2 linked regions of the Daphnia pulex genome follow. The protein of the gene in region 1 purifies or fractionates together with the protein of each later gene. This does not show direct contact. Links are inferred from orthologs where the notes say so. Each region holds a gene or a part of one and is shown in the gene's direction. Other genes may lie near its edges. The genes, in order: dorsal-ventral patterning protein Sog-like and bone morphogenetic protein 2-like.

Region 1 (16,165 bases):
TCCCCTTGATTGTTCCCATGCAAATTGATGCGCCTTTTTTTTACCAATCGTGAAATTTGAGATAATTTTTTTTTTAAAGAAAATTGAATCAAATCTAATTTTTGGGGGGGGGGGAGGGGACAAGACAAAAATTTCCCATGGCGCCAGGGAATCTCACCGATTGAGAGATGATACCCGCCACAACAACAACAGCCACAACAACAGCCAGAGCTCTCCTTCTATTATAATATCTATACGCGGAATAATCTTCTCCGCCGTAAGTATCGACTATCGTTTGCTAGGATTTATGACTGAAAGGTATAAACTGACTGGCCAGCAAACAAACGACCCCCAAATCGAAAATGAGACGATGAAGCCAAAAAAAAAAAAAGAATAAGAAAAAAATATTTTTTCCTATTTTTTATTTCGAACCAGGAACTTTCATATACAGATGGGAAGAAAGAAAGAAAGAAAGAAGAAAAAGATGTGTATATAAATTGATGAATTCATTTGCATAGATGTAGTGTTTCTCTTCTTCTTCTTCTAGATATTCCACGCTGCGGTGCTGCGGTCTTATAAGGCTCGTCTGCGCGCTATTTCGTTGTGTTGTGTGCAAGTTGGCCGCCGCGGTGGCTGTGCTGGGGTGGCCCGCCAACAGACTCTCGGCTCTCATCTCCATCGATGCTAATGACTCTGGCACACTCGTGTGTGTAGACACACAGGGCGGCGGTTCATTTTCTTATACCAGATCTCTCTGAGCTGCTGCTGCTGCTGCCCTGCCTTGCTCTTATATAATATTCCCCCCCCCCCCAAAAAAAAAAAAATCTACGACACCTTTTTGGCCGGGGTCGCCGGTCCGGCCCCGCCCTAAAAAAAAAAAAAAAAAATATTTCGTATGTGCATCTCTCTCTCTCCACTAATATTATTATTATTAAAATAAAAAAAAAAACCTTGAGTGATGACGTGCCTTGGTGGCGAGGCCCAGGATCTTCGGCGCCGGAATGATACACACACACACACACGCAGCAACAACAGCAACAACAGCCAGAGCCAGAGCAGCAGCACTGCAGCAGCTATAGAGCGAAGTTGATCAGAAAAGAGTTTGGCTGAGAGGCAAAACCACAGCAGCAGCAGCAGGGCGCACACAACAGCTATATTATAAGAGATGCTGGGATACACATATACAACAACTAAATAGAAGCTCGTGACCTCGCCTCGGTCGTGTGTGTGTGCGTCTGTCTGTTTTAGAGAGAAAGGATTTTTTTTTGGATGTTGGTTGTTGTTTGGTTGAGATTTACAGCTCAGTTGAATTTGGTTGTTGTTGTTCTCTCTCAGCCTATCGGCATTGACACCAATCAAAAATAATATGCAAATGATATACCAGTCTAGAAAAAAAATAATTATAGAAAATGGCCAGTCGACTATATTCGGCCTATTTATTTGATTCGCTCGTTCAAATATTGGCGCCAAATTTTTTTTTGTAAAATTAGAAATCATTGACTTTTTTTCGCCATTTTTATATTTTATTTTTTTAAAACGATCGACCCGAGAGCGACGTGACTTTTTTTTTCTTCTCCTAAAATCTTTGGAGATTTTTTTTCTTTCGTTTGATTTATTGAACACATTGTGCACAGCATTTCCTATTTTGCTCGCGCGTGAATTTTGGTTTTTTTTTGGTTTTTTTTTTTACGAGTTTCGTTTAGATGGTGGCCGCCTCTTTTTGTGTGTGTGTGTCTGAACAGACGCGCCAGGTTGTCGCTGCTCTCGCGAAATGTTAATAGAACCATTTAAAAAAAGAAAGAAAAAAGACTTTGGATAGTTTGTTGTTTGATATAAACTGGGCCCCACCCCATTCGTCTTCTATTCCCCGCCGGCCGGTCGCTCGGTCGTTCGGTCGGTCGGTCTCGATCTGTGCAACACGGGAACGCGTTGGACAATGGGTGGCGATATACAAGAAGAAGAAGAAGAAGGAAAAGGAAAAACCAAATTGACGACACGCGACAGGGCCACATCGCAGCAGACATGACGCGCCGCTGCGATCTGCTGTTGTTTAAAACCAGGCGCCAGCCGCCCACGGGTTGGTATAAAATATATAGAGAAGAGCCGGACAGCGCGGACGGGATGGACGCGGGACGGACGGGACGGACGGGCGACACGATGCAGACAAATCTTTCGCTACCCACCTCCCGTCCTCCCCCCACCAACCAACCTCATAAAAACGGATCAATTTTCTCTTATTCTTTTTTAAAACGGAGCAGTTGTGTGTTCAGAGGTGGGTGGTTGGGTGTCGTTTATCACGAAAATAAAAATAAAAAGGAACACAATTTATTATGTTGAATGAAAAAGATCTTCCGGTCGGGGCTGACTGGCGCCAAAAAATGTTGTCCGTTCAAAAATACAAAAAAATATCAACGGCGCGGGGTGTGTGAGAATAACAGCCTCCTCCCGTCGGGTGGTTTGGTTGTTTGCTGGACTATCTCTAATAAAATGTGTACGGGCACACGTCTCTGGCTGAGACTGGGCTGCATGCTGTCGTCAAGTCTATCTCTTGTGTCAATGTGTAACACACACACAGCAGTCACAGCGGACTCTGGCAGAGAGAGTCCGTCTATAACTATACCCAACACCAAAGACAAAACGACACACAAGGAGGTGGGGTAGAAGGAGGAGGAGGAGGAGGGGAATATGTCAACTGATTGCGCGACAAGGTGCCGTGTGTGTGTCAACCGCCGAGCGGTCGTCTGCCATGGCCTGTCAAACGACTACGACGCCGGGCCGGGAGAGAGAAATGTGTCGCAGTTTCAGCCAATATGTCCCGCGCGCGCCCGTGTCCGCCAGCAGCAAAATCCAAAACCAACGCGTGAAATCAAATCAAAAAATTTGAATGTGTGTGTGTGCAGATATGGGTGGACATTTTATTTTTTGGGGGGCTGGCTTGGCGAGACGGACACACAACGCAACATGGAAATATATATCCACAAAACAAGGTGAGATATCACCCAAAAATAAGGGCGACAGCATGTAACAACCTAACGAGTGTGGGATCTATAATAAATTTATTATATGGGACGTGTGCTGTTTGATATCGAACCGTCTTTTATTTTGGGGGGACGTCGGGACTGCTGGACGCCGGACGGGATTATATAAAAAAAAGATAAATAGCGTTTGGTTTGGTTTTTATCGAGCAGTAGACGAGGGATTATTTTTGGGAAAAATCGAAAAGATTCGGGTCATCGGTAAACAACAATAAAATTATGAAGCTTTTTTGGAATTTCCCGTCTGCCCGTCGCCGGCCGTCTGCCGGCCATCCAAAAAAATAGAGTCTAGTCGAATCAATACACAGGCAATTGAGTTCACGTATGTAACGTATCTATGTACCGAATGTAATTCAATCAGATTGTTATAACTTTGAATTGGGCAAATGAAAAAGAAATTCAATTCCGGATGGATGGAAGAGAAGAGAGATTCTCTTCTGATCTTTTCTTTTTCCTCCGGATCGATTTCTTATCATCACACAACTTTTTCTCGGTTAGATCTCTGTACAAATCCTGTAAGAGAATATCAAAAGGAAAAAAGAAAAAAAAGATCAAATTTGTCCAACTACTTCTTCCCTTTTGATTCGTTCAACTCCTTTTGATATGGCGGATGGAAAAGCTAACGAATCGCCAAGTCGGTTTGCCCTATCTCTCCTTCAACTCTTCAAGAAAAAGAAAAAGTCGAAACGAATTCAAAGTGAATGAATCCCAACGTTTCGCGGGATAGGGGCAAAGGGATCTAACGTGATTTAAGAGCAAGTGCGCTGGCCCATTTCGTGGCCGCTGGATCACAGAGAAGAATCTCTAAAAATCTAAAAAAAAAGGAGATGAAAATTCAAAGGGGAGCAGAGCGCTCAGACATAGCCGATTGCATTTGAATAAAAAAATAAAGACATTTTCTTGGATTCCAATTTGCCGCCAATTTTCAAACTTTAAATCGCCATTTGCACAAAAAAGTACGCCAAGGGCGATTTTCCGTCTCCCACGATCGACTTAGAGCCGGGCCAATTTGCTGTGTGTGTGTCCGGTCCGTTTTGTGTTCTCTCTCAAACTGTTATAGTATTCCATCGAAGGCAAATGCGAGGAGCGGGGCCCGGGCATCAATCAATACATCAAAGTATCGGGGAGTCAAGTGACTCGGGATTCCTTATTTGCGACTCGGCCCGCCCGTTTCTCTCTCTCTCTCACGAACCGAACGGGCGGACTCTTGCCCTACATATATACACGAGGAAGAGAGTATAGACGGGCCGCGTGCAGACATCGGAGAGGATCGTTACATAGTTCATCGATCCGTTTAGTATGTCTAAGGTGATGAGACGGGCAGAAAAGAAAATCATTTATATAACAATCCCCCCCCCCCCCCCGAAAAAAAAGTTTCGGGTTTTTTAATTAACGTGGTTGTTATCTGTGTTAGGTTATTTCTCTCTCTGTGCTGTGTATGTATAAGCGCGGGACTTTTGGTACGTGTGTGTGTGTCTGTGTGCGCTGCGCACACACTCGGCGTTTAAATTCGCCTCGTTTCCTGATGATTACATGTTAATGAGCAGCTCTCGCTGTGTGCTTAATTATATCGTTGGTGCTCTGCAGCCAAATAGTAGATCCCGGGCTCTATCCCGCGAGCTGGATTGGGTTGTATTTTTTGGGGGATAAGGGGGGAATAAGAGATAAAAGGGCCCCGCTGCTGCTGCTGATGGATCGCCCAGGCGGAATGGATGAGACAATAATACGGGCCATCTATACATGTATAATAATCAATTGATATACATAGAGCGTTTGCCGGCCCAAAAAATAACACAAACACATTTCGCTAAGGAATTGATTTTTGATTTAATTTTTGAAAGAAGAAGAACAAAAAAAATGTTGGGGAAATTCTTTGGCGGATTCCTATTGTTTTCATTTTTCGCCCAATGGCCAGCATCAAACACACCTGGACAATTTTTTTTTTTTTCATGTCGACAAGTCGTCGAGGGGATAAATGAGCAAAAGAGGCTGGACTCTTTTTTTTTCTTTCGGCTTTTTTAACTGGAAAGAAAATATCTCTCCCCCCCATCATCAACACGAAAGACACACACACAAGGACCACCTGCAAGATCTATTGGGGTTGGTCCTCTTCTTTTCTTTTCTTTCGATTTCCAACCGGCACTTATAACGTCCCGGGAGAGACGATATGATCCATAATGTGATCACAGCTGAGAAGAATCGAACCAAAAAATTCAAACTTTTATTCTCTTTTTATCTTTTTTCTTTTTTTAAGTAGAGGTGTGAAGGTGTGGTTGTAACGCTCAGGTATACACAACACACACACAGACACACAAGACACTAGAAAAGAAACATGTCGACAACTGATTGGAAGGGAGAATAGGAGGAGTTGGGTGGGGTCTCTCCTCCCAAACGCGCAGTTGGCGGAAAATAAATTTTTTGTATTTTCTTTTTTTAATTTGTCTTGAAATCAATAAATATTTTCCCCCTTTAAAAAAATAAATAAATAACGTCGCCCGGATCTAATTAAAATGTTGAAAAATGCAAAGGGCGCGAAATTGTGATTTTTCAAAAAAATTTAATTCAAATGCGCGCGCGTAAATGCCTGACGAAAGAAATCAAATTCAAAACTAAATGACGTCATACGAACTGCTGCATAGCAATAGCTTCTTCTTCTTCTTCTTTCTTTCTTGTGTGTGTGTGTGTGTGTATGCCATATAGGAAAAAAATAAAAAAATAAAACCGGATCGTTTGGCTGTTGCTGCGTCTGCTGTTTGCGCTCTCTATAGAGAGACGCTGGGCGATAGTCTTTCGTGTGCCAAAAAAACAGTTTTTGATATAGGCGCCATCAATAGAAGACACACACACACACACACCACACACACTGGCCAGCAAAGAGAAAAGATTTCGGGGCCAGCAGCAGCAGCAGCAGCACCAGAGTTTGATCTATCTAGTGTGTAGTTTTTCTTCTTTTTTCGCTCTGTGAATGCCGATGGGTGGTAGAATAGAAGCGGGGGCCCGTTGCCAAACACGCCGGAGCAGCAGCAGCAGCAGCAGCGGCAGCAGCAAGCGGAGAGAAGGAGGTAAAAGGAGGTGGGTTTAATACACACACACACACAGCTATAGCCAGGGAGGGATAGAGTCAAGAGGAGGGACACACAAGGCTCTACCCAAAAAGCCCAGCACCACATCTGGCCGCTCGCCCGAGTTGAGGCGCAGTCGTGATTCAACTCTCGAACGCGCTACAAGTTCTTCTTCTTCTCTCTCTCTCTACCTCTCTCTCCCTACCCTTTTTTCTCGTCCCCCCATCTCCCACTTTTGATTCGGTGGAGAGAACCCCACACACGATTCCACCCATCGCCAAAACAAAATTACAACAAACAAATTTCAAAAAGTGCGCCCCCGGTTTTTTCATTATTTGAAGTGAATTTCATTTTGATTGTGTGCGAAAAGAAGTGAAATATAAATTGAAGAGAGAGAAAAGTGCGAACAGATTCTCGGCCGTCATCGCGGCGTGGTGAATTTCGGCCAACAATTTTTTCGCCAGCGACACGCTATAGTAGTCGGATTTTTCGATCAAATCGCATCGGGGAATACAAGAGAGAGAGAGAAAGAAAAGAGAAATATTGAGTTTCCATTCTCTTTTTCTTCTTCTTCTTTTTCATTCTCTCTCTTCGTTTTTTTTTCTCTCCTGCCCTGCTGCTGCTGCTGCTGACTAAAGGTGAGTTCATTCCCCGCAATAGCCCATATGGTATTATCATACGAAACACAATTCATTTTGATTTTTCCATCTACACCTTTTGGGTGGGTGGGTTTTGGAATCAGATTTAATTGTTTGGCGTAATATAACGTTCAAAGGTGGAAATTGATATCAAACGTGAAACAATATTATATATTTCAAGAGAGAAGATGCATGTGTGTATAAGGCTGGCCATGGCCACCATATGCAGAGTCTGTACCCGGACCCGGGGCAGGGTTTTTTTTCTTTTTCTTTTTGAAATAAAATGAAAAAATACAAAATTCGAAAAGAAATAAAAGAGAAAAGATTTTCATCTCATGACCAATGCGGCTCACGTGCGATATACTTATAGACTTAGGACTATATAATACACACACACACACACAGCACTGCGGGAGTCAATTCTTTTATTTTTGTGTGTTTCCTCGGTGAAACACACACACACAACAGAAAAACCGAAATAAAAGAATTCAGAAAAAAATAAAAATAAAAAAAAGGGCAAATCAAAATGAGAGACATGTGTAAGGTGGCGCCTCGAGTCCTTATCGGGATCCCAGGGACGGCCATCTCTCTTTCTCTCGTCCGTTTGAAATGACAAGAAAAAATGTATAACAACAAACCAACCCAAAGAATTCAAACATTTTTCTCTTATTTTTATTTTTATTTGGTTTTTTTCTCCTTTTCGTTTTGTGGGGTGAAAGTTAAAGATGAAATAATATATTAAAAAAGTGGGACGATCTAAAATTAAATGTGTCATCCAGGTTGTTTATTTAATTATTAATCGCACGAAAAACCAATCAAATCAAATTATTTCACGTTTTTTTTTTCTTCTTCTTTTTTGTTTTTTTGAATGTTCAGGTCCGGCACGAAAAAAATAAAAAGAGAAAAATAATCGGGAAAATCAACGGGCCGGAAAGAAATGCGGTGTGAAGCGGCCCTGAGAGACCTGGTGCTGCTCTACGGCTCGTTGTCATCTGCTGTCGACTCGACGACTGAAAACAGTTGAAATTCGCTTCTTCTTCTTTCTATCCCGAAATTGTCAATTTGTTTTTTTCTCTCTCCCGAATTCTGTCCACACGAAAAAAGAGATTTTCAACGTGTTCGTGCGTGCGTGACAACCGGGTAAAAATTATCATTATTTCTCCAAAAAAAAGTGCGTTTCACGTGTGCGCTAAATTCGAGTGTGCAAAGTGGACCGACCGATTTATCTGCGCGCCAAATTCAAATTTTGTTTTCTGAAAAACAAACGAAAAAGACAATTTTTGTTGTGGGTGGTGAGGAGAAAGAAATTATTAACAAAATGGCTTGTTATTACCCGTCTGGCAAATGGTTCCTGTCCGTCGTGCTGGCCGTCCTGGTGGCACTGCTGACCGTCCAGGCGGCCGGTCCGTCATCCGGCGGCCATCAGCGCAACAGTAAAATGAAACCGCCGCCCATCATTTCGGAGGAGTCGTCCAACAAGAATCGTCGCACGTCCGGTAAGTTCCGAATCTAATTTGATATCATAAATCCGCGCCCGGTTATTTTATTCTATTTATTGTCTGTGTGTCACATCCCAATCATTTCCTCATTCACTCACACACACACACCTGTCTGCTTCGTATCAACCGCCAACCACCACCACCACCCTCCCAAACCACCTCCTTTCATTTATAATCGATCAATCGATTTTTTATCCTTTTCTTTTTGATCTCTCGATCCGTTGATTGCTATTCTTCCCTTTCGTCTCTTCTTTCTTTCTCCATCGGGGAAATGTATGATTCAATCAAGACTGTATTGGTCTGTGTGTGTGTCTCTCGGCATCCGATATAGCACTTTGTCGCTCCGGCCGATATAGCAGTGTGTATAGTCCGCGTGAGTGTGTGGAACGGACAAAAGATTATTGATTGCAGCTCAGAGAGTCTGGGAACCAATTTTTGGGTTGTCCTTTCATCTTTTGTTTTTTTTTCTTTTGGGCCGTTTATTTTTTCACGAACGTTTCCATCACCCCCCTACAAATGGTTTAGTTAGAGACACACGGCCAGGGCCATCGTTATTTTCAACCTTTCAGAGCGCCGAAATGTGTAAAAGATTTTTTTCCAAGGCAGCTCTGCTGGTCTAATATAGACAATCAAACTCTATGCACAGCCCAACAACAACAGTATATATAAGAAGAGAAGAGAGAATATAAAATCCCTGGAGCCATTAGACACACACACACACACAGCAGAGCAGAGCAGACGAGTATAGAGAATCCGGTTTTTCTGCCTCACTTGAAAATGTTGTTTGCTCAACTTCATTTCTCTCTCTCTCTCTCCAACATAAAAAGAAAACAACAACAACTTTGCTTCTTTGATTTAAAAAAGAAATGATCAAATAATAATTTTAAACCCCAAAACTTTGATCGGAAAAAGAAATACCAAAACAAAATTGAGTTCCAGCAACTCGATCCTTTTTTCCGGCCCGTCGTGCTGTGTGTAGAGACAACATCCGCTAATAATGCTCCATCGAGTGTATTTGTATATATACATCCGATCCCATCATCATCCCTGTCATGTCCTATATGTTGCCCGTGTGTGTGCGCGCACAATATATAGTATACGTACATACGTACGTGTACGTAGAATGGCACATGAGTTTTATTTCAACTGTAAACTATCCACCGGGATGGAGCTCCTGGCAGCGCCTGGGAGATTCTTTTTTTTATTTCAAAAGATAATCCCGAAAAACAAAAAACATATAAAAACATCCGTGTAACTCGGGGTACATATTTTTTGTGTATTCCTTCTTGTCTATTTGCTTTTGACTTCTTTTTTTGATTGCGGGATATAGGAAACGTGACTGTCTGTCCTTCTTATATTTTATTAAGATGAAAAAAAAAAATAAAAAAATTAACTTTTTGTTTCGATTCCCGATTTCAAGGAAACAGAAACAAACAAACAAAAAGCCTGGACCCTGGCCCGTCCGTCCGTCTTTCCCAGTTTGTAAAGAAGTAAAAAAAAAAGGAGAGCATTTAATGACGGGACTTTGACGTGTGTTTTTTTAATTTCACGAAAAGGACAATCATTATCACGAATAGATTACGAAACAATTTCAGCGAATTTGATGTTTTATTTTATTTTTTATTTTTTGTTTTTAATCCTTTCACTTGAAAGAAGGCCGATATGTTTTTGATTGAACGAATCAATCACCGCTGTTATTTATTATTATACAGCCGGCCAGTCAATCTATACAACAAACAAAACGATGTGAGCTGCTGTTTTCCCATTAATTACTAAAAACAAGTCGATATTATATATTGGAAAGGAATCAGTTGAGCGGATGTAATCGGTCGACGAGAGCCACACACAACACGAAATCAATTCGATTATTTCGGGTAGAATAGAATCATCAAAGTTAAAAGAAAAGTTTTCTTTTTTTGTCTTGATTCTTCTTTGCTCTTTTCCCTGTCATCATTCAAAGAGTTCGCCCGTTCATCACTCGACTTGATCCCCCCCAACGGAAAAGTTTAGTCGCTCTGCTGTACGTGTGTGTTTCTGGCCGGCAATCTCTCGTCATCTATTTATATCAAACATCATCGGCTTGTTCTCCTCTCTTCTGTCTTTGTCTTTTTCTTATTTTTATTTTCTCTCTCTGCCCGTTTTCGGAAGGACGGGCCAGCAGGAAGAAGAAGCCCCCCAGTTGGAAAAAAACACACAAACAAACAAACATTCCAGTCACCCGAAAAACACGTTTATTATATTAGATAGATATATATACTACCGCCGCCTATATAGGCAACATTTTTTTCCTGAAACAAATGAGCAGCGCTCAGATCACACACAGAGAGAAAGAGAGAACCGGAATTTGGGGATTTTTTGGGGAAAACCTTTAAATTTCATTTCTTGGTCTTTTTTGGTTTTCTTCTTATTCTTCTTCTGATAAATGTGTCCTTGTTATTTCGGTCGATTTATTTCCGCCGGTCGGCTGGACAATGTCGATATTTATTTGAAACGGAAGGGAGCTTAGTTTTGGCCGGGATTTCTACTTTTTCTTTCTTTTAAATTGAATTGAACTCTTGAACGCGGGCGTCCGTTTGGTATGCGACGGGCAGAAAAATAAAAAAAAAAAATCGCCAAGTCATGCGAGTAAGAAAAAATATAAAAATCAAAACTTCTGGTCAGTTTCACTTCTGAGAATATCCCAGCCGGGCACTATCTCTTTCTTTCTCTCTCTTGTTTCTCCTATAATCAACTTGTTATTGACTGGGCAGAAAAAAGAAAAAACAGAGAGACACTTTCCGTCTGTAGCACAAGAGAAGAGAAGAGAAGAGAGAAGGCCAACAACTTATTGATTCTCTCTCGAAACGCTGGCGGCAGCGGCGGCAGCGGCGGTGGCGGTGGCGGCGGCGTTGCTGGCCCGGCGCCTTTTACAACTTCTGGTGGTCGTTATATATGCGCCGTCGCTGCTGCTGCTGCTGCTGCTGGGCCGAATATTTTTTGCCTTTTTTTTAACGCCACATCGCTCACCGTGAATCTCTTCTGCCGGCCGTCGTTGTATAATCTTTTCCCGATCGGAATAGAAGGAGAGTCGAAGAAATGGTTGGTGGATTTTTTAGTTTTATTTTTGGTTGGTTTCCCTATTGAATATGGCATTGGGAGAAGCCAAAAGGAAGTGGGCCAGCAGCCGGCCAGAGAGATGGATAGATTGCCATGGCAAATGGGGGAGGAGTTTCGAGGGGGGGGGTAGAGAGATGGGGGAAACCCGCAGAGTTTCGGCCAACAACAACAACAACAACAACAGCACGAAAAAATGGAAGAAGAAGAAGAAGAAGAAGAAGAAGAAGAAAAGGAGCGGAGTTGAATGTTTGTTAACAGAAGAAGAAGAAGAAGAGGAAGAAGAAGAAGAAGAGAGAGGAGAGTATGGTAGGATAGTAGTTGGCTCGTGATGGCCGCCGGCGGTCATCCACGACGGCCAGAAAATAAAATACAGAAAAAAAAAGTTACGAAAAAATCGACGGATTTTTGTTTTGGGACACGTCACCGATTTTTTTTTTCCCGCTGGGCCACATCGCACAGGAGAAAGACGATACGTCCCCGAAAATGGACGAGCTCTCTCGTTATCTTTCACGCGCAATTCATACACACACGGACGGCGAGACGGGCAAGGAGGGGGCGCGGACACTGTGTGTGTGTCGCGCTATTAACAACGCAGAAAAATTATTATTTTATTTTTTTATTATTCGAAATTTTTTTGATTTCCTCCCTGGTGGTGGCAATCAAAAGAAATCAAAATAACAAACTGCTGGGCAGTTCTCTGCTGCTGCTGCTGCCCTGATGATGGCTGGCTCCGTGCCAATAAAAAGAAAAACGGACCCAACAACATCTTCCCCGCAGGGTCACACAGCACACACAGCGAATCATCCGCGCACGCAAAATACTTCATAACGCGCCAGTCTAGTGTGAAATAAATCAATTCCATCAGAGAATTCCAAAATAAAAATTTAAAATAAAAAATAAAATTGACTGGGCAACGCCGGCAACGGCCTGGGTGTATATATACATGAATGGGACACTTGATTATGTCTGGCCAGCCACAACATTATTTTTAAAGAAATATCTACCGCCCTTTTTTAATATTTTGAAAATTTGCCGCTCTTTTTTATTTGAAAAAACCAAAATTCACACGAATTTCGTTGTTGTTGTTGTTGTTGTTGTTGTCAAAAGGGTCAAGTGGTTCCTTTAAGGAAATATGTTAATAGCCAAGAGAGAGAGACGGGAGAGACGGGAGAGACGGGAGGCGACAGTCGACTGCTGCGTGCCGTTGGGTCCTCTGCTGCTGGGTCTGAAATTTCTGAATAAGAAAAGTGGGCAGAGAAAAGAAGAAGAAAGTCCATCCATTCTTATTCGGCATCTTCGGATGGCTGCCAAGAATCTCGAGAGGAAAAGCTCCAGCAACCAACGCAGCACAGAGAATGGATGAGAGAAGAGAAACATGTCCGTTTTTATTTCCCAAAAGAAAAAAATTTCCCTTTTTCTCAAATATTAAAAAAATCAAAATCCTTACGGCCATTTGGACGCGTACGCACTATACACACCCACGGCGCGCCAAAATTTCTCGTCAGTTGATTTCTTCTTCGTTGAATATTTCTTTTTTTTTATTATTATTATTTTGAAAATTTTGACGACGGTTTGAATTGCGCGCCGCCCATTGATTTCGTCTGGCGACTTTTTCAAAAAAGTTCAAAGCGGCGGGAAATTTTCTTTTTTTTTCTCAAGTGGATCACCGAATTTCCATCTTTTATAATAATAATAAGACCCCGATAATAAGAACCAACTTATGGACCCAAGGACCTGGTTGTCACGGGACTCACGGGACTAACAAGCCCAGCAAAATTCAAAGGCCCAGCCAACTGTTCTAATCATTGCGCCAAAAATAAAAATAAAAAAAATGAATGATGGACCGAATTAACATTTATCGTTGGGGAAATTTATTATGAAAGAAAATAAATTGGGCGGGGTTTCAAAAACAAAATATTTTTTTTGGGGGGGAAATAAAGTCGCAGACGCTTCGCAACGGGGAACCGGCGACGCCATTTTATTTTTTCGCCAAAAAATAAAAAATAATAATTTTGATTGCCCTATAAAGACGGACGCGCGTGTGTGTGTGGTCTATGTGTTGTTGTCTTAGATTTTGTCAATGGGCCATCTCGTTTCCTCTTTTGGTTCTGCCATGATGTCACTCATAAAATACAAAAAGAAAAATCCTCAACGGACCCCGAAAAAAAAATATTTTTGTTCGTAGAGGGTCCCGCGGTCCCATAGCGGAGAGTGTCGTAAAAAACAACCAAACAAGCGAACCTTACAGAGAGAGTAGAGAATATACCGGATGGAAAAGTTATACGATCGCCTTCGTTATAGACGATTCTTCCATTTCATTTGATTTTTTTCTTCTTTTTTGAATTTATTTTTGAATTTATTTATTTATTCATTGCCAACTCGGCGTCTATGCGATGTTGTTTGGTGGGGGATCAGGTTGTTATATGATGTGGGGCCGGCTGATTGGCTTATACAACTATTTTTAGTCGTGAAATGACATGATGCTGGACGAGAGAGGGCCTTGGCCACAGCAACGAACGCGAAAATTATTTACGATCGTATATATTTATATACGTTTCTGGGGGGTGGTGGGTGTCATTGAGGTGTCGTCGGGGAGCAAAGTTCGTTGCTCCGTCCATATTTCTCCCGTCTTTTGGCCCAGCTGCTGATTATATACGTATAGCTAAACAGAACAAAAGAACTTTGGCCGTTCGTTATAGATATTCCCCAACTTGTGTGACTGCTGGGATTATTAGGAGCTCATCTTGTCGGACTCTATTGTGTCATCTGCGACTCGTCTATAATGATCACTCACGTACGCATTAAATCTATTATAATATACGAAAACGTACGTCGAGCTGGGCTGGCTGGCTGCTGGACCACATCCACTCGATAATGATTGCGATGACGGGCTTTTCTCTCCTTTTGTCGTTAATAACCAAAACTCGACAGAAGAGGGACGCGGAGAGGAGCCCGGCAGCTCGTTATTATATCGCCAGCGAAGCCCAGCAGAATGTAAGGACCTTCGTTTTTTCTTTTTCATTTTTTTTATTTTTATTTTTCCCGTCTCAAATTGCAATGAGCGACAGGCCAGCTATACTAGTGCTGGACCTTGGTTGCCCATTTCCCCCTTTGGAGTTTCGCTGGCTTAGTTATGTGTGTGTGGGTACACAGTCGGACGGGCGAAATATTAGACAAACACGTAACCTTCATCTCGGAGGCATTTTCAGACATGGCGCCGGTCACGTCGTCGTCCGTTTCTTTTTTGTTTAAAAACTGGGCGATCCTTTTTGAAAAATTTTTATTTTTTCCGTTCAACTATTTATTATAGGTCCGGGGTGCCATCTTCGTCGATGTTGTACAGGGCGACGGACTAAATTTAGAAGAAGAAAAAACTATATGTCCGTCAAGTCTGGAAATAAATAGACGGCCTCCTTCTTATTTTATCCGGTCGATTCACAAATCTGTTTTAGAAAGTTCTTTTCTCGGGTTAAAAATAACTCAATTGAACTACTCTAAGAAGAAAATATGAATGCGTCGAATCTCGAATAGATATAAGGAAAAAAAAACACACACACAGAGAGAAAATTCGTTTGATTAGACTTGCAAATCGTTTGATTAGTTTCTATCGGCGCCGTCGTCTTCTCCAATGATTGGGCCTGCGGCTAATTGACTGTCGTCTTTGCCGATAAATAATTCTCCAATTTTCTATACATTTATTTATTTATCGATTTCTCATTGCAGATTGCCATTTCGGCAAGAAAGTCTACGAGCTGGAAGAGCGGTGGAATCCGGACCTGGGCTCGCCGTTCGGCGTCATGTATTGCATCCGCTGCGAATGTATAGCGGTAAGTTTTTATATTATTTCTATTTATTTTTCTTATTCTGTTTCTGCCTGTGTTTGTCCAGCATCACTCTTTTTTTGGTCAATCGATTGACGCGGCCAACATGTACAACATTCCCGTTTCGCCATATCTATACTCCGCGGCCGCTATTTATAAACTCTTCAACAAGAGACGATCGTGTGTGTCCGTCTGTTTTGTGTTTAAATAACTCGACACACAAAAGAGAGAGAAAATAAAAAAAAAGGTTTTCATTTCATCACGGCTAATGAGCCGTTCAACTCTGTCCGACAGGTAAAGAAAGAAAAGAAGAAAAATAAAAAGAAAGAAAAGCCGGGCGACATGATAAATGATGTCTAATATAATATACCGGTAGGGAAAAGAAAATGGTAGCCATACGTAGCTATATATTTTTGTCCAGCTTCTTCTTCTGCTGCTGCTGCTGCTGCTGTCCTTTTGGGTGTACAACATCTAAGAAGAAGAATAATACAAATGACGGGAGACTTGGACACAGACTGACTAGCTCGTCGTCGTCCCTCTTCTCCACTTCGTTTCATCATCATCACCTTTTTGCCCGTCTTCTTTTTCTTTTTCTCTCTGCTCTCTCCATATTTGTGCCGGCCCAAAAAGAATGGATGGATGGATGGTAAGGGGGGGGGGGATATCGTTGGGATATAAATTCCTCAGGTTCTTCTTTTTTTATTTTTCGTATTTTTCTCGTTTCTTCTTTGACCGACATCAGGAATGTCGTCCCCCACATTTTCTCTCGGTTGTGTGTCATCGACAAGATTTTGGGTTTTGTTTTTTTGTTTTTGTTATTTCGATTTCTCAATGGAGGGGAAATTAAAAGAGACGAGAAACATTTCGGGCAAGTGTTAAACGATATTCGTGTTTTTCTTGCTACACCGGAATTTTTCTTTTATTTTCTTTTATTTTCGGACGGAAAGTTACCACATCAAAAACTGGTGGGGTGAGATAAAGCGTGCCCCACCCCCGCTGGGGTCTCCCCACCTCTCCGTGTGAATATTTATAAAA
Region 2 (16,259 bases), on another chromosome or scaffold:
GATGGAAATGAGCTGTGCTCATCGACCACATCACATTGTGGGTGGTCGCCAACATCTCCTCTTCATATTCCGCCGTCATTCATTTCTTTTCCCTTTTTTTTTTGTCTATTTATCTATTTGTGAAATGAAATTTCTTTGTCGTTACTTTCACGAGAATATAAGAAGAAGAAAGGCCTCGATTGTTTTCAAGCGGATGGTAATGACTAATGAAAAGATATTTTCATTTCTTCGAAAAAGAAATAAAAAAAAAGTAGAGTGTCTGTACATATTTCCCAGGCCGGAAAATTCGTCGAATTTGGCATCCACCTGGTTTTTATTCAACTCCGTCACTAATCGCTCAATTGTCTTTTTTTTATTATTTTTAAAATAAAATTCTTTTTTATTTTGGTTCGTGGGATTGTCCCCAACGAGTTTTCTAATAGTCCCCCAAAAAATACAATTCAACTTAAATTTGATTCGAAATAATGCCATCAAGGTTACGTATCATAAGCCCCCTATTAGATATCAAGAGACTTTTGGTGAGACCCAGCAGCAGATGAGCTGAAGAGAGTCTCACTTATAAAATCATTAAGCGAGAGCCTTTATGGGAAGGTCGCATGCCAACCGAGAGTATATAGAGCCAGCAGTCCACTATACTGCTGGAATTGAAATGCATACAGACACGGGGGGAAGTTGTACAGTTTTCCACAGGTCTATAATACACAGGGGGTTTACATATTAGAGAATGCGGGGGATGTGTACATATAGTATAGGTTTCCAGCCAAAGACGACCAGGTGGAAAATAAGGTAAAACAAAAAACAAAAAATGGCCAGCTCACAGATAACAAAAAGAACCGAGCCCTGTGATTATATCATGCCACCACCTTTTGTCTTTTTTCTTTTTCTTTTCCACCAGCTTTTTCTCGATTTCATAATTACCCATCCGGTGTCAATTTTCCGTCATTTTTCGGTTTGGTGTCTATTATGTCTCCGGCCGCTTTTTTCTCTTCTATCTCTTCTATGTGTCTACACGTTTTACGTGTTTCTTTATTTCCTTTTTCTCCCCCCCTCTCCTATTTGGCCTTTTCTTTTCTGGCCATCCGATGAGTTTTTTCTCACTCGAGTCAACAACAATCGACACACACACACACACAAAAGGTGGAAGCCGAGAAAGAAGAAGAAAAAGACATTCTGTAATGTCTTATGTGCTGTAGTAGTCGAGAGAGCAGCTAGCTAACAAGAGAAGTCTAATTGGCCTAATCAGTGGAGGGCTTGTTTTGTTCGTTTGTCTCTCCACTATACACACAGCAGAATATGATATAATAAGAGGGCCCCTCGTTACTATACTATACGCTCACTCACGGCAATGTGAAACGAACTCGACTGCAGCAGCAATAGATTTACTACCGGTAATTGCTCGCCGTCAGCCTTCGCTTCCAATCTGACCTTTTGTTCGGTTGTCGGCCAATGACGACGACGACGACGCAAAGAAGAAGAATATCATCAGAATAAACACAAATAATCGTCAAAGAATCTCTCTAGAAATGGTGAACACACAAGTTTCTTTCTTTCTCTGTGTGCACAGTATATAAAAGAGAGAAAGAGAGACCCCCTTCGGACAGGTGGGCCAGAGAGAGACCGCCAATGGTGGCGGTGAATCTCTTTTCTTTTGGTTTCTTTTCTTGCCAGTTAGATGATTATACAGCTCTTCTTCTTTTCGGCTCTGTGTTGTGTTGTGTGTTGTGTGTGTGGTGCGCTTGAATAAACGAAAATGTCTTTTGATGGATGATGTTATGACTGCCAGAAAAAAAAGGCAAAAGAAAAGAGAGGAGCGGCCGCGTTTATATATCCCTTTCGAATTCTCGCGCGCGCGCGCGCGCGGCTTTCATTATTCAAATCATTCTGAAATGCAGTTTATCTCTTTCTTCTTGTACGTGTATTTTTATTTTCATTTTTTATAGATTGGGAATTCAGATGGTTAGTTTAGCCGGCCACACACACGGCCAGAGAGAGAGAGAGCGCTGAAAAGGAGCGGTTATGATGTGCACGCCACCTGTCGCTGCGCTGCCAACTAATAATGGAAAATGGACCCTGACCTGTTAAAAAATCAAAATACCGCGCCCTGGTAATAAATAATATTGTTGATTACGTTATTATTATTAAAAAGGAAAATAGAAAACAAAATAAGGAGACGCTATACAAAAGTTCGACCCCCCCATTTTTGACCAGCATGACGCGACATGAAACAATCGACAAAAGTTTTTGAATTTCCCCCCTCGGAAAGAAAAGCGCTTCGATATCTCGTTTTTTTTGTTTTTGTTTCTTCCCTTGAATGTTAATGGATCCTGTTATTGTTAACAGGCCTCGAAATCCCCCCAAATTCAAATTGATATTACCCACACACACACACATGCGAGTGTGTGTGTTATTCTCCGAAGAAAATTCTAAATTTCTCGACCGCAGAAGACAAAATTCCCAAACCTGATTTTTCTGACCCCGATGGACGAGATGTTTTATTATCTTTTCTAATAAAAAACGGAAAAATTTCTTTACAAATTTGATGATTTCCCAGAAAAAGTTGTGGAAAAAAATAAATTAAAAAATGTCCTGTGATGTTAATCATCATGACGCGTACGTGTGTCACCTAGGCTAAAATAATTATGTGACAGTTCTGCACTTTGCCATTGTACGCCAGGCTGTCAAATGAATGGCCAGCTGGAAAATTTGTTAAATGACGTGCACTTTGCGTGCAACTTTTCTTTTCTCTTACATTATATTGGATAGGGGATAAAAAAGAAGTTTCAACTAACAAGCTTTTTGTGTTTAAAAAGTGCGTAGTATTATTGTAACTCTGCACGCTATTGAGTGTCCTGCTATCTGTCCTCCCAGTGGGTATAATATCGATAAGAAAAAGGGCCGGTCATTGGGAACTGAGTGGTCGTCTCTTTTTTTTTCCACAAAACTAAGTTTTTACCGAGTGTAGATATAAAAGAAGAACAGGTTTTATTGTGTAGTTAGAAACTGTAAATAAAAGTGGCGAAACGAAAATATATATACGCGCGCGCCCACAGGTGTGCACGTCCATTCGTCTTCTTAAATGTCTATAACAGATATTATTATTGTGATTGTTATTATGAGCTCGTTAAGGTTAGCTTAGCTCAGCCAGTCAAGGTTTTTGTGTACGCTAGAAAATGCGACATTGATTGTATCGCTCTCGACGGCCAGCTGGTTTACAATAAAAACAAGGGGGGTGACGCAAGAGAGTTTGTCTGTACACAGCACACGACGATGAGGTTTCTGAGTTCGCCGTCATCTCGTTTTTCTCGTTCCAGCAAATGCCATTCCACAATTGTTTTTGTTATTTCTCTTTGGAAATGTGCGCACACATTTGAGATTGTGTCCACGATTTCTATTCATTATATTGTAATTCTAATAATGACTGCCATTGTAATTCTCCGCAAAATGATTTGGGGAGTAAACTTGGATAATTATTTCAAAGAAGATTCTGATTTGATTCCATTTGATTGAAATCATTCGCGGTGCATAGAAAGTGGTATAATCGGTTCTTCGTATTTTCTTTTCAAACTCAAGTGAAAAACTTGACACACACTCGACTTGTATTGAGTATTAGACAGCAGCAGGTGAGCGAAGTATGGAAAAAAGAAGGCGGGCCGGTGTTGAAAGATAATATTGAGATGTGGGGGCTGGTTGTTGGAAAAATAAGAAAAAGACATTTTCTCTTTTTCTTCTTCTAGCGACTTGATAGATGAAGGTGGTCCTACAGCAGAGGCCTAAACGGTCAGTATAATCAACTCTTTCTCTTCTATTCTCAGCAGAAAGAGAGAGAGTGATGGCCTATACACTGGCCCACCAGGGGGGTTGTCCAGCAGAACAAGAAAACGATTGTACTACTCGAGTGTGACATTTTCCCACTATTACTACTTACTATATAAGTGTGGGTGTGGACGTTTTTCCCAAGAAAGAAATGGCCTCCTTTTTTTGGAAAAATAAAAATGATCAGGTGTCTAAAGCCACATGTAACACGGCATGTCTAATCTCTGCGATTTCGGTGTGAATCGCTTTTCTGCGAAATCTTTTCTGCGCGGTGGCCAAATGTATTAGCACTTGATTGTTGAGATACAAAATAAATTTAGACAGCAGTATAGGCCCGACCCCACGTCAATTAAAACTCTGTCGAGGAAAGTGACTGGCTCCTGTCAAAGAGAAAATGTTGAACTCGCGGTGCTGCTGCTGCACAGGTGGACAACACACGGAAAAATAAAAGTCTTTCAAAAATGGATCCGCTTTTCTTGTGCCCCCTTTTTTATTATTATTAAAAAAAAAAAAGACCTAAATTCTTATATGTAGCGATGATGATGATGGCAGCAGCAGCAGCCCCGGTGCTTCTCTCTCCTTGTGGTTTTGCTGGCCAAGGTAAAAACTCCCCTGGGGTGTCGAAGAGAGAAAAAACGGAACAACAGCCGCCACGCAGTCTGCTGCGCCTGATTCTCCAGTCTCGTCTATTCTTCTTCTTCTTTTTTCACATATTCTTCGTATTTTCTTCTTCCTATATACAACCGTCCATATAGTCGCTCTCACCTTTGTCCGTGTTGTGTTTTCCATCCGACACCTTTCTCTCCAGTGAATTGTCATTCAATTTTTCAATTTTTTCCTCAGATATCTATACGTTTTTGATTGACTTTCTTCCACACTGCTGGACGTCCCATGGCGAATTGATTCTCCCAACAGTTTCGCCGGATGGAGATGAATGGACACACACACCTGTGCTCCGGCTGCACCTTTGTATAAACCTACCCAGCAGCTTTTAAAAAAAAAACAACAAAAAAAAGAAGAAAACTTTCTTCTTTTTTAAAAAGAAAATGACGAAATTCTTTGGCCATCAATTTTTCAAAATGTTTCGCGCGCGGCTTATTTTTCTCTTTCCGAAACTATTTACCATACGATATCTCATCGCATTTTGTCGGCATGTTTTCTTCCAAGGCAATAGAGATCCGACACACCTTCTCTCTGAGGCGCTTACCTAATAACTGCGCATATATTAATAAAAAAAAAATATATATTGTTTATTTTTCCCAATCGGAATCGTTTAAATGTTCCGCTTCGTCTTCTTGTTGCTGGCCAAAGAAGAAAATAACCAAACCTTTTTTTCTGGTTTTTTCCTGAAAAAATAAAAATTAAAGGGAATATTAAGTTCGTACATAAAATTCGGATCCGCCCAGTTGAATCTTTTTTTTCTTGTCTAAATTCTTCTTTTGGTAGAGATAACATTTTCGTTTCTTCGTTTTTGTTCGACCAGTACTAGAGAGGTAGATCCTCCCCTATTTTAACTCTATATGTAATTTATATCTATGTGTGTGTGTATTGAGAGGATGGGGGGGGGGGAAAAGAGCGGTCGAAAAAAACATTTCTGCCGGGTTTTTCTTTTTCTTTTCCGTCTTAATTACAGAGCAAAGTGCGCGGGTTATGGCGGAGGATGACTCCTTCTTCCAACCCACTCGCCAACCGAACTCGTATACAGAAGGGGGAGGAAAAGCCGCAATAGAGAGAGAATAAGCTGCACACCTGTGGACGAAAAAACAAAAATCCAATAGCCTCCAAATAGAAATTTTCTCGGTTGTTGTTGTTGTTGTTACGCTTCTAATACCATAGGGCTATGTAGAAGCGCGCGGGATTGGACGCACAAGGCTATGCAATCACGAACGCCGACGTGATTACAAAGATTGAGGCAAAAGAAAATTGAGAGGAGGACACACACAGAATAAAACGAATCTGAAAAAATCAAGGCAACCCACTTTTTCTTAACAGACGAAAACACACAACAACAACAAACACGAGTTGTGTGTAAGCCAATATTGATTACACGTGTACACACTGCGCCGCTGGTCGCAAATCATTCGATAAACAAGGGTGAGCTTGTACAGTTGAGCAATTTGATATGCCCTTTGATCATTGGTCGGTGTCTTATACATTTTTCAAAAGCTCATCATTTTGAATTTCCCGCTTCAATTTTAATTTCCGGGTTTCAAATTCACGCTGAAAACAAAAAATATACCTTTGAAATAAAAAATTGTGTTGGACATTGAAATTTGGCATGGCGCTGACAAGTATAGTGACCTTTTTCGAGTTGTCATTTTCTTTATTAGATTTCTCCTTGTATGGAAGGGGAGCCTTATATTTATTATATGGCCTCCTCTTCTTTCTTTTGCTCCTTCAGATTCATCCTGCGGAAACCTTGGACGACTTTTGTTCTCCTTCGGCTCCTTGTCATCTCTCATCTCTCTATTCCACCATGTGTATATATAACCGTTGGGGCTCCTGTCGCCACCCGACCCCAGTCACAAAAAAAGAGAGGGTCTGTTTTTACCTTTTAATTGCCCCATTCTCTTTCCCGGTATACGTTGTCGTTCGTCTCCAAAAATAAGAATCGATAGTCACTGGACGATACTTTTTTCCGATATGCCCAGGGAATGTTCGAGGGGTAAAAAACTAAAAAGAGAAGAAGCTTAAAAGCCACTCTAAATAGATGTATGTTTTTTAAAAAGAAAAAAAAAAAAAAAACCTTTTTTGGGGGTTTTTCTTGATGGGGTGACCATCTTGTTTTACCTTTTTCCCCCTCCTCCAAAGTGCTGCTGGCAATGTTGTCCCTGTGTGTGTGTTTAGATCGCCCTCTACCTTCGTGTACACAGAGAGAAAGAAAATGGTATTTAGTTTGGAAGAAAAGATATAGCCGATAGATATATATATATATATACAAACATTGGGATGCATTTCCAGGGGATTTTTATTTTTCGTCTGCTGGCTGCCCAGTGGAAGCGTCTCTTTCTACTCCTGGGCTCTCAGTCCTTCGTGTGATGTGACCAGTGCGGTTGGTCGGTGGCATTTTTCCCCCCTCAATTTTTCCTTGTTTGTTTCTTTTGATCGAATTTCTGTTTCGCCTCATCAAACGGAATTTCTTCTTCTCGGTGCCAAGAACCAAAACACCAACAAAGTTGTGCACCTGTGCATCCGCCATTTCCAGCAAAAAGGTGTTAGACTCATTAGATCCCCCCCACCCTACCTCACACAACACCTGTGTTTTCTTCATGTGCAACTTTTCCCGTCTGTTACTTTTTTGACACCTTTCCAGTCCCAGGTGGAATGGACCCCCACTTCAATTAAAACAAACAATAGACTGTGCAATAAGATTGATCAACATTTTGTAATTTCATTAAAAACTATCGAAAATCAATTTTTCTTTTTTGGGGGGAATGAAATTTCAGACATTTTGAGACGACAAAAGAGATGACCCTCCCTCCTGAAAAACCCAACCCAAAAACCTTCCAAGTTCCAAACGGAATAAAAACTTTTCCCCCTCCATTTTTCTGCCCTTCCCCCCCCCTCTCTTTTTCAATCCACCCCCTACTTCTTCTTCTTCTTCTTTTTGTCTTAAGTTTTCCACCTGGTTTTTCTTCTTCTTCTTCTTTTGTTTTTACCTTCCGAAACAAAAAAAGGAATATAAAAATAAAAAGTAGACGAAGGTTAAAAAAGAATATCGACCTTCTTCTTTTTATTTTTCCACCCAATCGTTTCCTCCTTTTTATTTTATTTTTAAATCGATATTTAATTCTGTTTCTTTTTTCTCCCTCCAGGGATTCCCGGTTGGACAATCCATTCCACGTGCGTCTCCCAGCCCGAGAGTGTGTGTGTTCGTGATTTATTTTGTTTTTAAAAAATCGTCGGTTATAAAATGCCCGCCAATTTCGTCGCCATTTTGAAACCCTGTTAGTTATTGGCTATTGCGTTCAGTGTTACGCCATCGTCAGTTGTGTGTCGTGAGTGAAGAAGTGAAAGTTGCGTCCAGTTGAATATATATATATAACACACGCCACGTTTGGACAACGGCGGCCGTTTTCCAATCCATCAGTTTGATCCATCGTGCTGTTGATAGTGCCAGGTGTGTTGTTGTGCCCATCATTGCGTTTTGGTGTCGTGTGTGTGTGTGTGTGCTATGAAGATCGGGCACTGCGTGATTGCCAGTCAGGGAGGATCGCCACCACCGCTGTGCTAAACTGCTAAAAGGCCAGGATGACACGGATCTCCCGCGGTTGTATCAGCAACGCACTCGCCCACTGCCAACTTCATCCTCCTCTCCCGCCCGTCCATCCATCGACTGGACACATCCAATCGTCATCGACTCAACAGTTCCAGGTTTTTAACAAAAATTTTTTCGTCTATTTTTTCAAAATTCCCGCAAAAATTTTGTAGAAAAATTTGAACTCGGTGGAATTTCACTGGATAATTTTTCAAACATATTTACTAAAAATCGATTTTTCGGGGAAGATTTATTTTTTTAAATTTTAACTTTTTTTTTACTGGAGGGTAAAACTTTTAAATTGGAAAAACAAAAAGAAAGATAAAAACCTTTTTCCACCCTCCAAATGAGGAAACCCAAGAAAGTTAAGGGGGAAGGGGATGCTGAGTGCTTTTCTTTTTTCCTGGAAGAAGAAGAAGAAGAAGATGGAAAAAAGGGACCAGAATGAGAAATACAAAACGGGGACAATAATAATAAAAGCACAAATACCCCCAGTCGATATGTGATGGAAACCGGTGGCCACGATTACGCTAATTAATCAAAATATTTTTAAAAATCCAAAATTTTTTAAAATCCCCGGCGTATCGAATAATAATTCCTGTCCCGTTTTCTTTTTTCGATCTGGGGAATTTGGAAATCTGAAAAAAGAACTTTTCAAGTTCTCGTGCCAACGTCGTTCATCTTGTGTTTAGATCTCGCGGGTGTTTTTAAAAAAAGAGAAAAAAAAAAACACGTAAGAGAGGAGAGAAAGGCAAACAAAAAACGAATGCGAGGGACCAGAAAAGGGACACAATCAAACTGCATCTAATAAATATTTGTCTCTACATATATATTCCAACGAATAATATGTGACCGGCGACATTGAGGCCAACAGCGAGAAAGAAAAAAAAAGAGATTTTTAACTTTTTTATTCGCTGTGGAACTTATCTCTTCTTATAAGATTGTAGCCGTTTTGTATGCGCACACACCTGGGTTACGACATATAAACAACTTCAATAACTTGCGAGCAGAGATAGGAGAGAATAAGGTTCTGGTGCCAACTTGTTGCTGGCCCCCAGAGTGGCCATTTTGTTGTCTGTAATGAACCGGCCGACAGGTGGAAAACAAATTCCTATCCAACTAGTCAGCGAAATTTTTATTCGGGAGGACGATCGTTCACACACAGGACGCATTCCATCTCCAGCTTTGCTGCTGGCCCCCTTTTTCTCTCTCTTATTCAAACAGTGACGCATCATCTTGCCCAGTTGCCGGGCAACTTGAGAGCTAGGTGTTTTCTCGTCCAACTGATTTGAAAGTTTTTTTTGAAATTTCCCCCCCCCACCGCTCCCATTTTGCGCAATTGTTTTATTTTCCATCCATGACCTATACAACGACGGATAGACGACGTCCAGCTTTGTGGATAATATGCAAAAATGTGGTGTTGGAATGGTGTTGATGGGCCAAGCCCCTCTTTTATCCATTCGCACCTTTTGACTGGAAATGCGCACCACCTGCTGTTAACTACTGGCCAGGGATTCCTGGAAAGAAGAAGAAGAAGAAAAACACCAACGCTTATCTAATTGGCGAGATCACAAATGGGAAGAATTCCAATGTTTATCCCCAAAAGAAAAAGAAGAAGAAGAAGAGAGAGCTCAACACCTGTGTACACACACAATCTCTCAACAGCTTGACATCATTTGCATATAATAGTCCTCCTCTACCGACGATGATTACATTAAATTATTATTACATCAAATAACTCCTCAAGAGATTTCAACATTTTTTTTTTCGGGTGGTTGCATCATCATCCGTATGTAGCGCCCGAGGGGGGACCTTCAACTCGCTTGTTGTTGTTGATAATTAACTGATTGCCGTTACGAAACGTCTTTTTGTTTGGTTTTAATCGCGAATATCAAATGAAAAATTAAATAAGGAATGTGGAAAAGAACAATGAAACATCAGGGAGGGGCCCGTCTCTTGTTTGTTTGTTGTTTGTACCTTTTTTCTTCTTTTCTTTTTGGAGGTTGACTCTGTTCATGAATGAATGAAGTCAAAAGATCAGCTGGGAGAATTAAAAAAGAAAAAAATATATATACCTGCCGGGTAATGGGAAAAGAAATATAAAAGAAAACGAACGAACGAACGAACGCGCAGTATAATAAGTTTTTGGGGAGGTGGGGAGTCTTATTACGTCGTAACAGGTGAGACCGGGGTTGGGCCCTGTCGAACCAAAATATGGAGTGGCTGTGCAGCAGGAAAGAAGAAGAAGAAAAATATATAAACTTTGGAGCGCACAGGTGTTTCTTTCACGGTTTATTTCAAAAAGGAAAAATATAAATTTGTTGAGATTAAAATGTTGTTTCGTTGTTGTTGTTGGGAACTTTCGGTCGCACCTTGTTTCCATCCGTGAACGGGGGAAATTCTTTTTTTTTTTTTAAATTTAACCTGGCAAAAGGTAAACGTGAAAATAAAAGAAAATGTTCATTGAAATTCACCAACGGAATTCATTTATTCTGCGGGGAAATAAATAAAAACAATTGGCGTTTTCTGGATTTGGACATGGAACATCATCAAAGTTTGTTTGGGTTTTTTTTTAAATAAATACCGGATCGTATCACAATTTCCATATCAAATGCCACCGCCAACTCCCTCCACTCTACTAACAAATAGTAGTTGCTACTTGGCCATTCCGCGCGGATGATTTCAAAAGTCTTCCGCGCGCTCCCGTCCAATTCGCCAAAATACCCGTTTGATCAGATTTTTGGTATAATTATTTATCAAGACAAAATATACAAGAGCCCGTGTCGGTCCCAAACCGAATTGAGCCTAGGTGATAAGAAAAAAAAGTCCATCCATCTCTTTTTTTAAATTTCCATTTGTTATTTTGAATTCAAATTGTTTTTTTGTTTGTTTATCCTTCCCAAATGAAATCCGGTTTGTCAATGAGAGAAAAGGGGGGGAGAACTGGAGGTAGAACTAAACAAATGGCTGTTTGGTTATCAGTTGGCGTTAATCACGATCGCCGGGGCCCACAACAGAAATCGGGTGAAAGCCTCCCGACTATTTTTATTTCTATTTTATTTTATTTTGGCTGGCCCTCGTTGCTTCTTGTCGTACCAGGTAGATAAACTGGCCAACAACAAAAAAAAACAAAACAATCGAAAGCTGGAACGATTTTATATATGTCTATCCAAATTTCTTTTATTCATTTTTATCGATTTTTCTTCGTTTCAATTGAATAAAACCGAACGAATTAAATTTTCTTCTTTTTTTTCACAACGGAAAAAATCGTCCGGTGGATGGATGGATCGAATTTCACATCTCCCTTTTTTTCTTTTTTTCTCCTTTTGTGTGTGTGTGTGAATGCGAAGTTTGGAACACCTGTGCGTCCGATCCACCTGTACAGCGGTCGTCCGCATAATGCCCATCCGACAATATCCTTCACTGCCAAATAGCCTCAAAAAGAAAAGAAAAGAAAAGATCTTTTCTACCAAAACCTTTTTTTCCATTCTCTCTCTTACTATATAAGTAACTTATATATATAGCTCGGTATCATCCGCTGGATATATACATGTGCAATAAGAAGGGGGGGGGGAGAGCCGGGGGCACGCGCGCTGAACACGCGCCGATGAATAATTCATGCGTAATGATATCGACAAGATATTATACACACACACACACGAAATAAACATAAAATGAAAATGAAAAAAAGAGAAAAAAAAAAGAGACACGACTTTGTTGGGTAAACGTGAATTGATGATGGCGGACATTTCACAGTATCTACGGCCAAGAAGAAGAAGAATAAGTTGGAAGAAGAAGGCCGTCCTTGGCCCCCCACTGGGCTGGCGGCATGCTGTCTACCAGAGAAAAAACCCTGGGCGCAACACACACTCCCAGGAAAAAAAAAGGGCCACGCTAAGAGTTTCTTGGGGTCTCCAGCCAGCACACCTGTGGGCCCCCATCTTCTTCTTCTTCTTTTTTCCTATTTACAGTAAATGTACGTGTGTGTGTGTATCCTCTTCTGACAACTCTTGGGGGTCTTCTCCAGGTGGTGTGTGTTCACTCTCTCCTGGTTGAAGAAGAGGGGAAGAATGAAGGAATTAGAACAGAAAGAATTAAAAAAGAAAAAGAAAAAAGACCTTGTTTCAATTCACACATGCATGTACATATCCGCGTAGTATACGGGAAAAAATTTTTAAAGAATAAAAGGTATCCCCCCCCCCCCTCCCCATATAGGTGAGGGGGGTCCCACCCGCTGGATATTATTGCCGAGTTTCTTTTTACGCACCTAGTCTCTTATTTTGTCAACAGCAGGTGAAAAATCGATTTTTATTTATTCTCTTTTGACCTATGCGTATAGATAGCGCTCGACCGTGAATATTATTTAGACGGTAGGGCCATGGTACTCTTGATTTGTCTTAATTTTTTATTCTTAATTTTTTGGTTTTGTTTTACCTGTTGGAAGAAGAAGAAGAAAAAGTTTGTTGGAAGAAGAAGAAGAAGAAGTTGGGTGCGATGGTCTATGCCCCGTGGGCCTCCCCCTTCCGTCCTCCTCCTCTGTCGTGTGTTCCCCCCCCTCTGGCACATCTTTTCCGAGTGGTTTCCCCTCCCTTTTTCTTACCTTTAGTTCCACCTGATACGAAGCAGGAGGTGGTGGGTTGGGAGGTGGGAGGTGGGAGGAGAAAAGACAAACCCAAAAGGTAGGAGGAGTGAGGAGAGAGAGATAGAAGCCCCCAACCAACACACACACACACAAACCCAAAACGGAAAAAATATAAAGAAAATAAAGAAGAAGAAGAACCCCCAAAGAAAAGTCCGTTTTAAACCACTCTTGCCGGTCTCCAACATTTTCAGTTGCCGCTCTCCCTTCAGGTACGGCGCAGGTGTGTGCTACATAATCCACGCAATTTTTTTTTCCGTTTTAACTCGACTCTGAATTTTTTTTTTCACAAAGTTTTTGAACGCCAAGAGAAACCAAACAACCAAGAAATTTTGTCGAAACTTTGACGGTTTTATTCGATTGTCAATTTTTCATCGATTTGTGCGACCCACTTGGTTTTCTGTTTGATTATTTTTTTTGAGGGGAGGTCGAAAATAATTTCTCTGGTCGTCCCGAAAGTGTTTTTAACTTCTTCTTATTTTCTCCCGTGTGTTTTTTTACGTGTGTCGAGGTGAAACCGAAGTTTCCGAGTTTTGAATTTGGCGACGGACGGATTCGTGATTCTGTGAAAGTTCTTTATTTTCGTTTGATTTGATTTGAACACCGCCGGCCCCGAAAATTTCTACGAGTGAATTGTGAATTTTTTTACAAAATAACTGGACAATATATTCAACCATCAAAGAAGAAAATTAAAAAAAAAAGTGTTTTGGTTCAATTTTGAGTCCGAGGAAATTTCTCCACCACCCAATAAAGTGATCGCCAACTAAAGAAAGAAATTACCCAAAATTAAGCGAAATAACAAACAAAAAGGGGTGGGGGCCAGTCGTGGACAAAAAACATGCTAGACGACGGAATATGACCAAGGTAAAAACAATCTTAAACCCAAATTGCTTTATTTTTTAGTGTTGGCGCTGTGTGGCTCCTCCAAGGATTGAAACCCAAATTTTTCAATCGAGTTTTAGTCGGAAGGGATAGACATGGGCAGACAAAGGGGAAAAGGTCTGAAAAAAGGGGAGAAAAATAAAAGACGACGACAACATTTTTTGGTAGTGGACAGTCTGCGATATGAACCAATTTCACCTGTGACTCTGGTATATATGGCGAGCGGGGCCGTGTGTATACTGTCGCCGGCCCACCTGAAAGGATCACAGACTGACTGACTCCGCTCACTAAAAAAACTTTTTTTTTCTTCTTGTCTTTGACATTTTTGTTTGTTTTTTTTTCGGTTGGTTGTCCGTGTTTTATTTCTTCCTAAATATTTTTTTAAAAACTTTTTTGTCGGAGCTATGAAAGAGGAATAGAGACAACCTCTCTCTCCTTTTGGCCTTTGCACAAGGCCATTTATGATCATTATTGGTGGTGGTGTTATATAGTGTACGTAGTATAGATATGATCCGGGCTGGAGGCCAAAAGATCTTTGATCCAACACTTTTTATTTGCAGCGTCATTTCTTGTTTTTTTTTAAATTAAAAATAGAAAAACTGAACTATGAACTGAAACATTTTCAAAAGAAGGATTTTGAATTGGGCGCCATTTATTCGCTTGAAATTTTTGCGGTCAAAAAAACATTTTTAAAAAATTCTTTTCTTATTTATTTAAAGGTTAAAAAAAATCACGCCAGAGTTTTATATTTTTCTCGTCTTATAATCCTCCTTTTTATCTCTCTCTCTCTCTCTCTCTGAAAAGATGTGGCACAGGTGGAGAGAGACGGTGGAGAGTCGCTTCTTTTATGTTGATTTCCTTTCTGCTATTTGACTAATATGGTCGAGGTGGTACGATACGCGGCCGTGATGTGTGAGAGGAACCCGGCCCAAAAGCAGCTAGAGAGAGAGAGAGAGATCGGACTCTTGTTTTATTTCTCTTTACAGGTGCGGCTTTCCCATTTCTTGTTGGCAAGCCCATCTCTTCTTCTTCTGCATATATAAGAACCAACCGAGAGAGCCAATCCAATCGATTTTTCTTGGTCGTTTTATTTTCTTTCCTTTTTTTCAAATTTCGAAAATTTCGCGCGCACCTATTTTTCAAATAAACATCTCTGGGGGGGGGGGGGGCACTTGTGTGTGCACCAGTTGCGTGGCGAAATTATCTTATCTGGCTTGTGAGCTTATCTCCGTTTTGGCGTTTTGTGATTCAACAGAAATTTAGGGTGTGGCCTGACACACACGGGCAAAGTGCGAAAACGGTCGTCATTATTCACACACGACCCCAAAAATATTTGGTGATTTGCAAATTGAAATAATCAAAGTCCCAAAAAATATCCTTGGGTTTGGATTTCGACCGTAAACAAGACGTGTGGGACGTAATATAATATACCCACGCTTTTTCATCATTCCCCCCACCCTCTTGCAATGAGATCTCTGCTTACAGGTACTACATGTGTATCTTATCTCTCCAACCACCACCCCACCCCAAAATGGCTAACACAACGGGGAATAAATAGGAAGAAAACGGACACACACAAACTGTTTCACGTCCACCGTCCAAAAGATAACACCGTTGACAAGCTCTCTGTTCTTCATATTTTTCTTTTCAACACGTTGTTAACTCATTTCTGGCTCTGAGGGGAAAAGAAACTGTCAAAAATGAAAGGTGCTACGGTTCTACTAGTCGAGAGAGAAATAAAGTGGGCGGTCCCACCTGTTCAAAAAGAGCGCGCGCATTTTTCCCTGGCCAGGATTAACCTTGATTAATGAGCAAAGGTAAAAAAAAGTATAGAAAAAGAAGAAAGCCTTTTTCATTAACACCTGTGTGAGCCCACCTCCCATGCCCACCCCCCACCCCACCACCACCCGAAAATTGTGTCCTACCTTACAGCAGATAATAACATCTCTCTCAAGTCTTAAATAGATCATATATAAGCTGGGCTTGAGTGGTTACTTGGTCGTCAGTGTTGTGCTCGATCGAAACGGAACAGGGTCATCGTCCTGTCCAGTGTCCAGTGCCATTTTTTTGTCCACTGGTGAGGAGAGTGAAACAGCTTTTAGTCATTAAGGACTTGGCTTCTTCTTCTACGTTGGACGTGCTGTTGTCTATCTAATCGGAAAAAAAGGAGAAGGATATTTATTTATTCCAACAGTGAGAGTGTGTGTCGATAACTTCTCTGTGGTTGTTTTCTCTCCTGGAAGGAGCCCCAAAGTGGCAGATAATCGTTATTTGGTTGTGTGTGGGTCTCTCATCTTTCAACAGCTGTCGGCAGTATTTTATTCTCAGGATTACTGACAATCTGCGTCACATTAGCGCGTAAGTTTCGCCCGTTAAATTTGATTGACACGCAAATCGATGGTGGGAGTGACATTTTTCGTCACGGGACAAGGTCCCGGTCCAATATGCGGGTCCCACCGAAATGCGGGACGAATAATCATCTCAATATTTATTAGTGTAAAAAAAGGAAGAAAAAGGCAAAAGTCCTTGGCTTTTTCTTCTTCTTTGTACCAAAACATCTTTTCTTGTAAAAATAAAAATAAAAGATCTCTGCTGGGCCAAGAAGAAGAAGAAGAAGAGGGTCCTGTCATGTTGCCGAGTAATGGAAGCCACCTGGGCCCCAGCAAA

What was found.
Region 2: the proteins of dorsal-ventral patterning protein Sog-like (region 1) and bone morphogenetic protein 2-like purify together in Drosophila melanogaster (affinity purification with western blotting; 4 studies listed by BioGRID). This does not show direct contact. The link is inferred for Daphnia pulex from reciprocal best matches to the Drosophila melanogaster genes sog and dpp.

What each region holds. Positions count from the first base shown.
Region 1 is NC_060018.1:10,725,689-10,741,853, forward strand, and holds the start of dorsal-ventral patterning protein Sog-like, read left to right. Parts: upstream 1-6,148; 5' UTR 6,149-6,714; intron 6,715-7,590; 5' UTR 7,591-8,032; coding exon 8,033-8,210; intron 8,211-15,032; coding exon 15,033-15,136; intron 15,137-16,165. UniProt on the Drosophila melanogaster protein: Putative negative growth factor. Antagonist of dpp, a protein involved in patterning the dorsal region and in the development of the neuroectoderm; dpp inhibition is enhanced by tsg.
Region 2 is NC_060019.1:10,268,627-10,284,885, reverse strand, and holds the start of bone morphogenetic protein 2-like, read left to right. Parts: upstream 1-6,685; 5' UTR 6,686-7,025; intron 7,026-7,628; 5' UTR 7,629-8,187; intron 8,188-12,798; exon of another isoform or gene 12,799-13,574; intron 13,575-14,939; exon of another isoform or gene 14,940-15,409; intron 15,410-15,503; exon of another isoform or gene 15,504-15,950; intron 15,951-16,259. UniProt on the Drosophila melanogaster protein: Required during oogenesis for eggshell patterning and dorsal/ventral patterning of the embryo.